2 linked regions of the Yarrowia lipolytica genome follow. The protein of the gene in region 2 interacts with the protein of the main gene of each other region in a pairwise test. Links are inferred from orthologs where the notes say so. Each region holds a gene or a part of one and is shown on either strand. Other genes may lie near its edges. The genes, in order: YALI1_F33791g and YALI1_D28221g.

Region 1 (3,622 bases), on a different chromosome or scaffold from region 2:
CACCCAACAATCGTTTGAGCAGCTCAACAAGCGAGCAGTGGCAGTGGTGGTGGATCCCATTCAGTCGGTCAAGGGTAAGGTTGTAATTGACGCCTTCCGACTGATTAACACAAACTCGGTGCTTTTGGGCCAGGAGCCTCGATTGTCGACCTCCAACGTGGGTCATCTTAACAAGCCCACAATCCACGCCCTGATCCACGGCCTGAACCGACACTACTACTCCATTAACATCAACTACAAGAAAACTCCCCTGGATGAGAAGATGCTGCAGAACCTGCACAAGAGCAGTTGGACCTCTGGTCTGGAGATCCAGAACTACGAGACCCAGGAGTGCAACAACGCCAACGCTGCACAGAAGATGGTCAAACTGGCCATTGAGTACACCAACCGAGTGCAGGAGGAGCAGGAGATGACCGAGGACCAGCTCAAGACTCGATATGTCGGAAAGCAGGACCCCAAGAAGCATCTTGAGGATGCTGTTACTGATAGACTGGAGGAGAACATTGTTTCTCTCATGGCTGGAAACGTCGACAACGTTGCTTTCCAGGCGTAGGTGGTTTGTACTAGGTAGTGCATTATATAAATAAATTAAACGGTTCATGTTTGAACTGGGGTATGTAGGTGCGTTCGAGTGGCCACTGTACTCCTACTGTAGCTACTGTACGTTTAGTCATTATGCTGTTATTCTATATTACTTATTCGTAGATGCTGTGTGCTTGTAGTAGACAGCACCTTTCGTGTTGTTTTAAGCACCATATTCAGTGCTAGTCGTTGTTCATGCTAACATCTCCATGACCATCTCCATTGCCGTCCTCCTTTTCTCTGCTGTTGTCCCGCTCCTCACTGCTATTGGTTCGGCAGCCATTCTCCTCGGTATCAGTATCCATGTCGTCACTTGGGCTGTTCTCTTCCACCAGCTCAAACAGCTTCACTGAGCCATCTAATGAACAGGTAACGATTTTGTTATCAATAACATCCAGTGAAATAATAACTCCCGGATGAGCGTCAAACGAGCCCCGCACAGTTCGATCCTGTATATCGTACACGTAGACGCGACCGTCCTCAGAGGCATGCAAAAGGACGGCTCGATCCTGACGATACACAAAGCCAGTGGGACAGCAGTACTTGCCATTCTCGTGGCCCTTGTATGTCTTGACCACCTTATTGTTCATGTAGTCCCACAACCTTGCAGTGGAGTCCATATTAGAGACAAGGATGAACTTGGAGTTTGGAGTGAAGCGGGCAAACATGATGGGTGAAGATTCTTCACCGACAATTGTTTTCAAACATTGGCCAGTGGCAGTGTCCCACATTCGGATAAGACCGTCATGTGATCCACTGACAATCATGGTTCCTTCGCATGAGAAGTCGACCGCCGAGATGGGTTGTGAGTGGGCCGCCAGGGTCATGATGCACCGACCCTGAAGCACGTCCCACACTCGGACATTCTCATCGGCTGATCCGGACACCACTAGGTTGCCCTTATAATTGAACTTGACGCATGTCACATAGTGGGTGTGTCCCACTAGGATACGCTGACTGGAAGGTCGGTGTGTGGACCAAATTCGGATCGTTCGATCGTCGGAAGCTGTGGCGAGCATCTTCGAGTCAGGCGACCAGCTGATGTCATTGATTCCCGCTCGATGACCTCTCAGCGTCTGTATCAGGTCTCCAGTAGCAGCGTCCCACAGCTTTATAGACGCGTCTGCAGAACATGTTGCAATCTGTTTGCCGTTTGGGCTGATTTTTGCCGTCGTGCAGGGTGCGGAGTGAGCGTCTATCGTGAGCTTCGTAGGAAACTCCGACGCCAGGTCCTCCTCCTGCTCGGTTCTCACTTTTTTTGTGCCACCGCCGAAATCCGTCGTCATGTTGGAGTATGCAGGAAGAACGCACTCTCAGTCGGTTTGACTAACTTTGATCGGGATAAAACAGGCAGTACTGTAGCATACAACAGCAGCTTCGGGGACGGGCACAAGAAAAAACCAACACCACAAATTAACACAGCATGGACAACATCAAGCGGCTCCTCCAGTACGTTACACGAGGCTTTTACGACACAAAGTCCATCCTGGTGATGGACGCGCTGCTCAAGCATGTGGTGCTTTCAGACGAGGAACTGCACCAGCTGCTGAGCATTCCGGCCAAGGAGATTCGACAGATTTGCGCAAAGCTCAAGGACGACAAGCTGCTCAAGGATCACACCCAGCGCGAGCAGCAGGAAAACACATACGGCTACAACAAAAATTACCAAAAGACGTACTACTACATCCACTACACTGTGACTATCGATGCCATCAAGTGGAAGGTGCACTCCATGAACAAGCAGGCAGAGGAGGCGCTTGGAAAGAAATCCCAGCCACAGGGATACGTGTGTCCGCTGTGTACCAAAAAGTTCACTACCCTCGAGGCCGTCACCAACGTGCAAATGGACGGCACTTTCACCTGTGATGTCTGTTCTACCGTGATTGTCGAAGATACCACCAGTGACGAATCCAGAGTGCACCAGGACCGACTGGAAAAGCTCATGCAGCAAATCAAGCCCATTATAGACGAGCTACGAAAGATAGACGACATCCAGGTGGCCGAAAACACCTTTGAGACGTCGCTTGCCAAGGCGGTTCCCGCACAGCTGGAGGTCACTGCAGGAAGCACCTCTTCTATCAAGACTGCTGGCAGAGGCACTACTTCGTCCCAGACGGGCTCCAACAAAAGCTCCACTCTCACCGTCAACCTTTCCACGGGTGCAGAGGACGAGGCTGCCCAGCGAGATGAGAAGGCTAAGCTGGCCGAACAGAACGCCCTTCCCGCATGGTACATGGAGTCTACTGTTGGTCGACAGATGGTAATGGGGGATACCGACCAGGAGCAACATGGATTCACAGAGATTGGTAACGACGATGACTATCCCCAGAAGAAGGATACAAAGGAGGGTGTTAAAAAGGAGGAAGTGGCTCCCAAGGTCAAGGCCGAGGATATGGAGCCCAAGCTCGAGGAGGAGGAAGAGGACGCTCTGGCCGCATACTACAAGCAATACGAAGCCAAGCAGCGTGCCGAGGATGAGGAGGAGGAAGATGAGGAAGATGACGACGATGATGAGGGTGATTTTGATGATGTTGAGCTGGCTGTTGAGGAGGCTGACTTTGACGAGGAGTAGACGAAGAAAAACTACAGGTGATGTACATATAACAAAGATTTTTTATACACATTAGACTACGAGTAACTAGATACGTACTGGTAGATACAGTACATACTGCATGATTCAAAACATCCAATACCATTATAATACACGTTAGCTACAGCTACTCTACTTGAAACGCTTGTCAATGACATCGGCGCCCTGTTCCTCATACTCCTGCTTGATGACCCAGGAAGAACCAAAGTTGCCGAGAGAAGCGAAAACAGAGGCACCGGTCCATGCCAGCGACTTTCGCTCGGTGGAGGTCACCGAGAGGTAGGGCTGCTTGACATGGAACTGGGTGAAGAACTGGGCCATGTCCCGGTGGATTCGGGCAGTCAGACCGTTGAGCAGAGTAGTTCCTCCAACAACGACAATGTTGTTAAGTAGCTCCATCTGGACCTCGGCTTTGGGGTCGGTCTTGAGCACGGCATGGTAGATGAGCTC
Region 2 (3,989 bases):
CCAGATCCCTCCGCTCCAGCTGTCACACATGGACGCTTGTGCACACGCAAGCTCCCAGAGTGGACCTCTTCTTGCTGCTGACTTGTACCGGTCTATTGCTACTGCGAGACTCCGCAGAGTCCGTCAACTACAGCCACAACCAGGCTTGTATTCGGGCAGTCCGGTTGCTGTTGGCGAGTACTTGTGTCTGTGGAGTCTGAGGATGCTGCTTATCACTTAAGAGGGCTACTAGAGAGAAGTTCCTACACATCCGGTTGAGCTGACATTGAAGCGACTGGCCACACAACTGATTGCCTAGAGGCTTCGATCGGGGGTCTGGGCAGATTGTGGGCGGGAGATGAGCACGTCCTCAAACTGGTGGGCAAACCAGGCTCCGAAGTGGCAGCACTTTCCCAGAAAGTCGACACAAACAGAATCAACCACTCATGCTCGACAATGTTGTCGAACTGGAACTGGTATCCGTAGCTCAGACCTACAAGTACGAACTCCCCAGCCTTCCTCCGGAGCCATTGCGGAGAATGGAAACACGACGAGTGGGATTCGAAGAGGCCGTGAGGATATGAAAACAGTGCAACGTAACCGGAAACAAGCCTCCAAGACTGCTGCAGCGACGCCATCTTCCGAGCCACTGACATGAACTCGGGGAATGTTAGTCGGAGTATTCCCTTGCAGACATGAAAATCAATTGCGTATTACATCTTTGTTATATACAGAGTGGAACGCTCTATGACCACATGATCTGCAGCCATGACCTACACCCACTTGAGCCTTGTGTGAACCTCACCTCACTAGGCGTCAAGGTATCCCTCCAGAATTTGCTGCACAACATCCTTCGAAAAGGGAATGTACAGCTTTTTCATGCCCATCTTGTCGTCAAATGCAACCACCATCTTATGGTCCATAAACTCCTTGAGTTTCTCCTGGAAATCCTTCTTGTTAGAAACCGTCAACTCGTTAAGACACTCCGTCAACACCTTGTCATAATCCACAGAAATGGACGTACTTCCTGTCAGAGCACCCACCTCGGCCTCAGGCAGCTTTCTCTTGTCAGCCACATTGTGAAACTCCTCCAGCTGACAGTAAATGAGGTTCTTGTAGAGACTTCGATGGTTCGGAGTGACCGACTCAAGTACATACTTGACACCCTTGGCACCCTGGGCCTCAGCCTTCTTACCAAGCAAAAGCGGATCGTCAAACGACGTTTCAACCGTGTAGGGAGCAAACGTGGTCACATCATGCCACACAAAATTGTACGAGGCCAGCTTGGCAGAGTCCCACATCAAAGGAGCCATAATATGATCGACAGATGCAACAAACCAGATTTGAGAAATACTCATGAGCTGAGACAGATGAGTAGACGCCTTGTCGATCCGCAACGACTCGCCATCAACATTGTGACACAAGACCACCAACGACGGCTTTGAACCAGCTTCAATATCTCGCATAGTGTCAACCACCAGTTTCACCAAGAGATCCACATCCTTGGGCAGTTTGTTTCGTACCACAAAGCCCTTTTTCGCAAAGATGTCCTCATGATTCTCGTAGAGAACGTCCACCACGCTGTTGAGCACCGACTTGAACTGGACAGACGCATTGTATCCGTTGATGACAAGAATGGGGATTTCCGAGTCCACTTTTTCGCACACAAAGTCAGTCAGTAACTCCCTCTTGCTTCCCAGACCATAAAACAGCAACGAAAACCCTTCCGAAAGCTCGAAAATCCATTGCGAGAACATTCCGCGGTAAGCATGCCGCAGCATCTTCTTCTGGTCGGCATGAAACAGCTCATTGGCCTGGTTTGTGTACTTAAAGAAGACGGAGTGGTCGATGGCAGGCGCCTTGGCCATGGTGTTGGCGTTACCTCGTCCTCGGGTCTTGTGTTGGTCAAAGTATCCCTCTGAAGAGTCCAGGAACAGAACGCGGTCTTCAGCCGCAATCAGGGCACCCACGTTGGCCAGCGACCGTTCGTCGGTGTGGAAGTCGTTGGACGAGTCGAGAATCGGAGCCCGGCTCTCTCCAATGATCCGTTCAGCCAGCTCAATTTCATCTTCGTCTTCGCTCACCAGTCCCAGAGACTGATCCAGTAGTGTTCTGTTGGCCTTTTTTCGCGCCGATTTGTCGTGGAGCGACCGTTTCACCGGTGACGGCGTTCCCGGTGCCTTTCGAGGCGACGCCGTCCTTCTCGGCGTCTGTTTTCTCGGACTCGTGGTCTTTCTTCTCTTGGGTGTGCTCACCTCGTCTTCAACCTCAAAGTCCTCATCGCTGACGTCACTGGTGTCCAGTCCGGAATACGAAACTGGTGCTTTTCTTCTGCTCATGTGATGAATGGTACAACTAGTCGGTGCGGGCGCCGTCTGGGGTTTGTCGCCTCTGCGGTATGTATGTCGTCCAGTGGTGATGCTCTAACGGTCAGATTAAAAAGGAACCGATAAACAATCTCTTGGTGAACTCGAACCCCGGTGCTGGATAAGTGTCGCCGTCTCGTCGCTCTAGTGCGCCGTATTGTATTGTAATGGTGGTGACAATCACTGATCAAAACTCAGAGGTGCATGAGAAACGCCCACCACCATTTTTATATTTTGAATTTCAGACTTTTTTATTTGGTTTTTCACACCAGCACAGACGACACAAACACAGGATGCTAACGTTTTGTCCCACTTGTACAAACATGTTGACGGTGAGTAGGACGGGGGGATATTGAGGGCGGTTGCTGAGTCAGGATTGGGCCAGGAACGACCAGATCATAGGTCGCGTGGATGAAGGCGAGATGAGACGAGACGAGAAGCGAAAGGCGAAAGGCGAAAGGCGAGGGGCGAGAGGCGAGAGAGGGTGAGGTGTCAGAAATCATTTGAAACTTCTTTATCACTAGTTATGTGCAATTCTACTCTTCTCTTACGGTTTTTTGCAGATCAATGAAGTGGCTAGTCATCGACCACACCCGAGAGAAGAGGTTGCCGAGTTCGATCTAGGTTGAGATTTGTCTAAAAGTATTTGTGTGCGCATCTACCGTCCGCTTTTCTCCTTCACCGCATCTACCATGTCCCCATCTCGTGACTGATCTCGTTGCTGATCCCGTTACACACTCCACTTAAGCATGCTGAATCACCATTGACACTCCATATACTAACTCAGCTGTCGACCAGCGGAAACGGCATGCGGTTCGAGTGCCGGACATGTCCCTACGAGTACTACTTGCAGGACGGCACCATCGTGTATGACCGAAAGGTCCTGGAAAAGAAGAAGGTGGACAGTGTTCTCGGTGGAGAGAACGCCTGGGAGAACGTCGACAAGGACCCTGGCTCGCAGTGTCCCAAGTGTTCCAACATGGGTGCTTACTTCTACATGTTGCAGATTCGGTCTGCGGATGAGCCCATGACCAAGTTTTGCAGATGTACGGCCTGTTTCCACCAGTGGAGAGAAAACTAGTGAGCTTAGACGTGCCAAACACGTTATGGGAAGGATAGAATGCATGTAATATATTTATGATTGATTGTCTGAGTGTAGAGAGTGACTGAAGACCTGGAACCGATCGATGGAGGTGTCAACAGAAGGGAAAGCCCAGCCTGCGATTATAAACAAACTCCGGGCTCGGTAACAAACACTTCACTTCTTGTCCTGTGTCCCTGAGAGTCTCCAAGTCTTCAGCAGAGGAGAAGTCGTTTGAGATTCATTCGTTAACAGAGGTTCACTCGGATGTTACTGGCCGTACTGTACATACTGTAGGGATGTTGCCAGATCTACCCAAGTTCAGTATCGTATCGGGAGAGCTAAACGCTCATTTTGCCCAAGTGGTTCGCTCCAGTGGTTCGCTCCATCATCATTTCTCTGTCAAATGACTTGGAGTCATTTCAGAACGCCTTGCTCACGCTCTGGTCAAGCCCCCAGAATACCCATGCCCAGTTTGCCGTCCAAAACCTCAAGAAAGCTGGCTTCTTCACAGTAACAAACAGGGAACATTAGCTGTGCCTCCATATCAATCACATATTCGT

What was found.
Region 1: the proteins of YALI1_D28221g (region 2) and YALI1_F33791g interact in a two-hybrid assay, tested with the Schizosaccharomyces pombe proteins (2 studies listed by BioGRID). The link is inferred for Yarrowia lipolytica from reciprocal best matches to the Schizosaccharomyces pombe genes orc2 and swd3.

Annotation. Positions count from the first base shown.
Region 1 is NC_090775.1:3,377,408-3,381,029, reverse strand, and holds YALI1_F33791g (uncharacterized protein), read right to left. Parts: upstream 1,869-3,622; coding exon 765-1,868; downstream 1-764. Other genes in the region: YALI1_F33812g (uncharacterized protein), read left to right, coding at 1-553; YALI1_F33790g (uncharacterized protein), read left to right, coding at 2,006-3,154; YALI1_F33764g (uncharacterized protein), read right to left, coding at 3,305-3,622. UniProt on the Schizosaccharomyces pombe protein: The Set1 complex specifically methylates 'Lys-4' of histone H3.
Region 2 is NC_090773.1:2,820,415-2,824,403, reverse strand, and holds YALI1_D28221g (uncharacterized protein), read right to left. Parts: upstream 2,319-3,989; coding exon 789-2,318; downstream 1-788. Other genes in the region: YALI1_D28242g (uncharacterized protein), read right to left, coding at 1-81, 129-250; YALI1_D28213g (uncharacterized protein), read left to right, coding at 2,639-2,677, 3,133-3,426.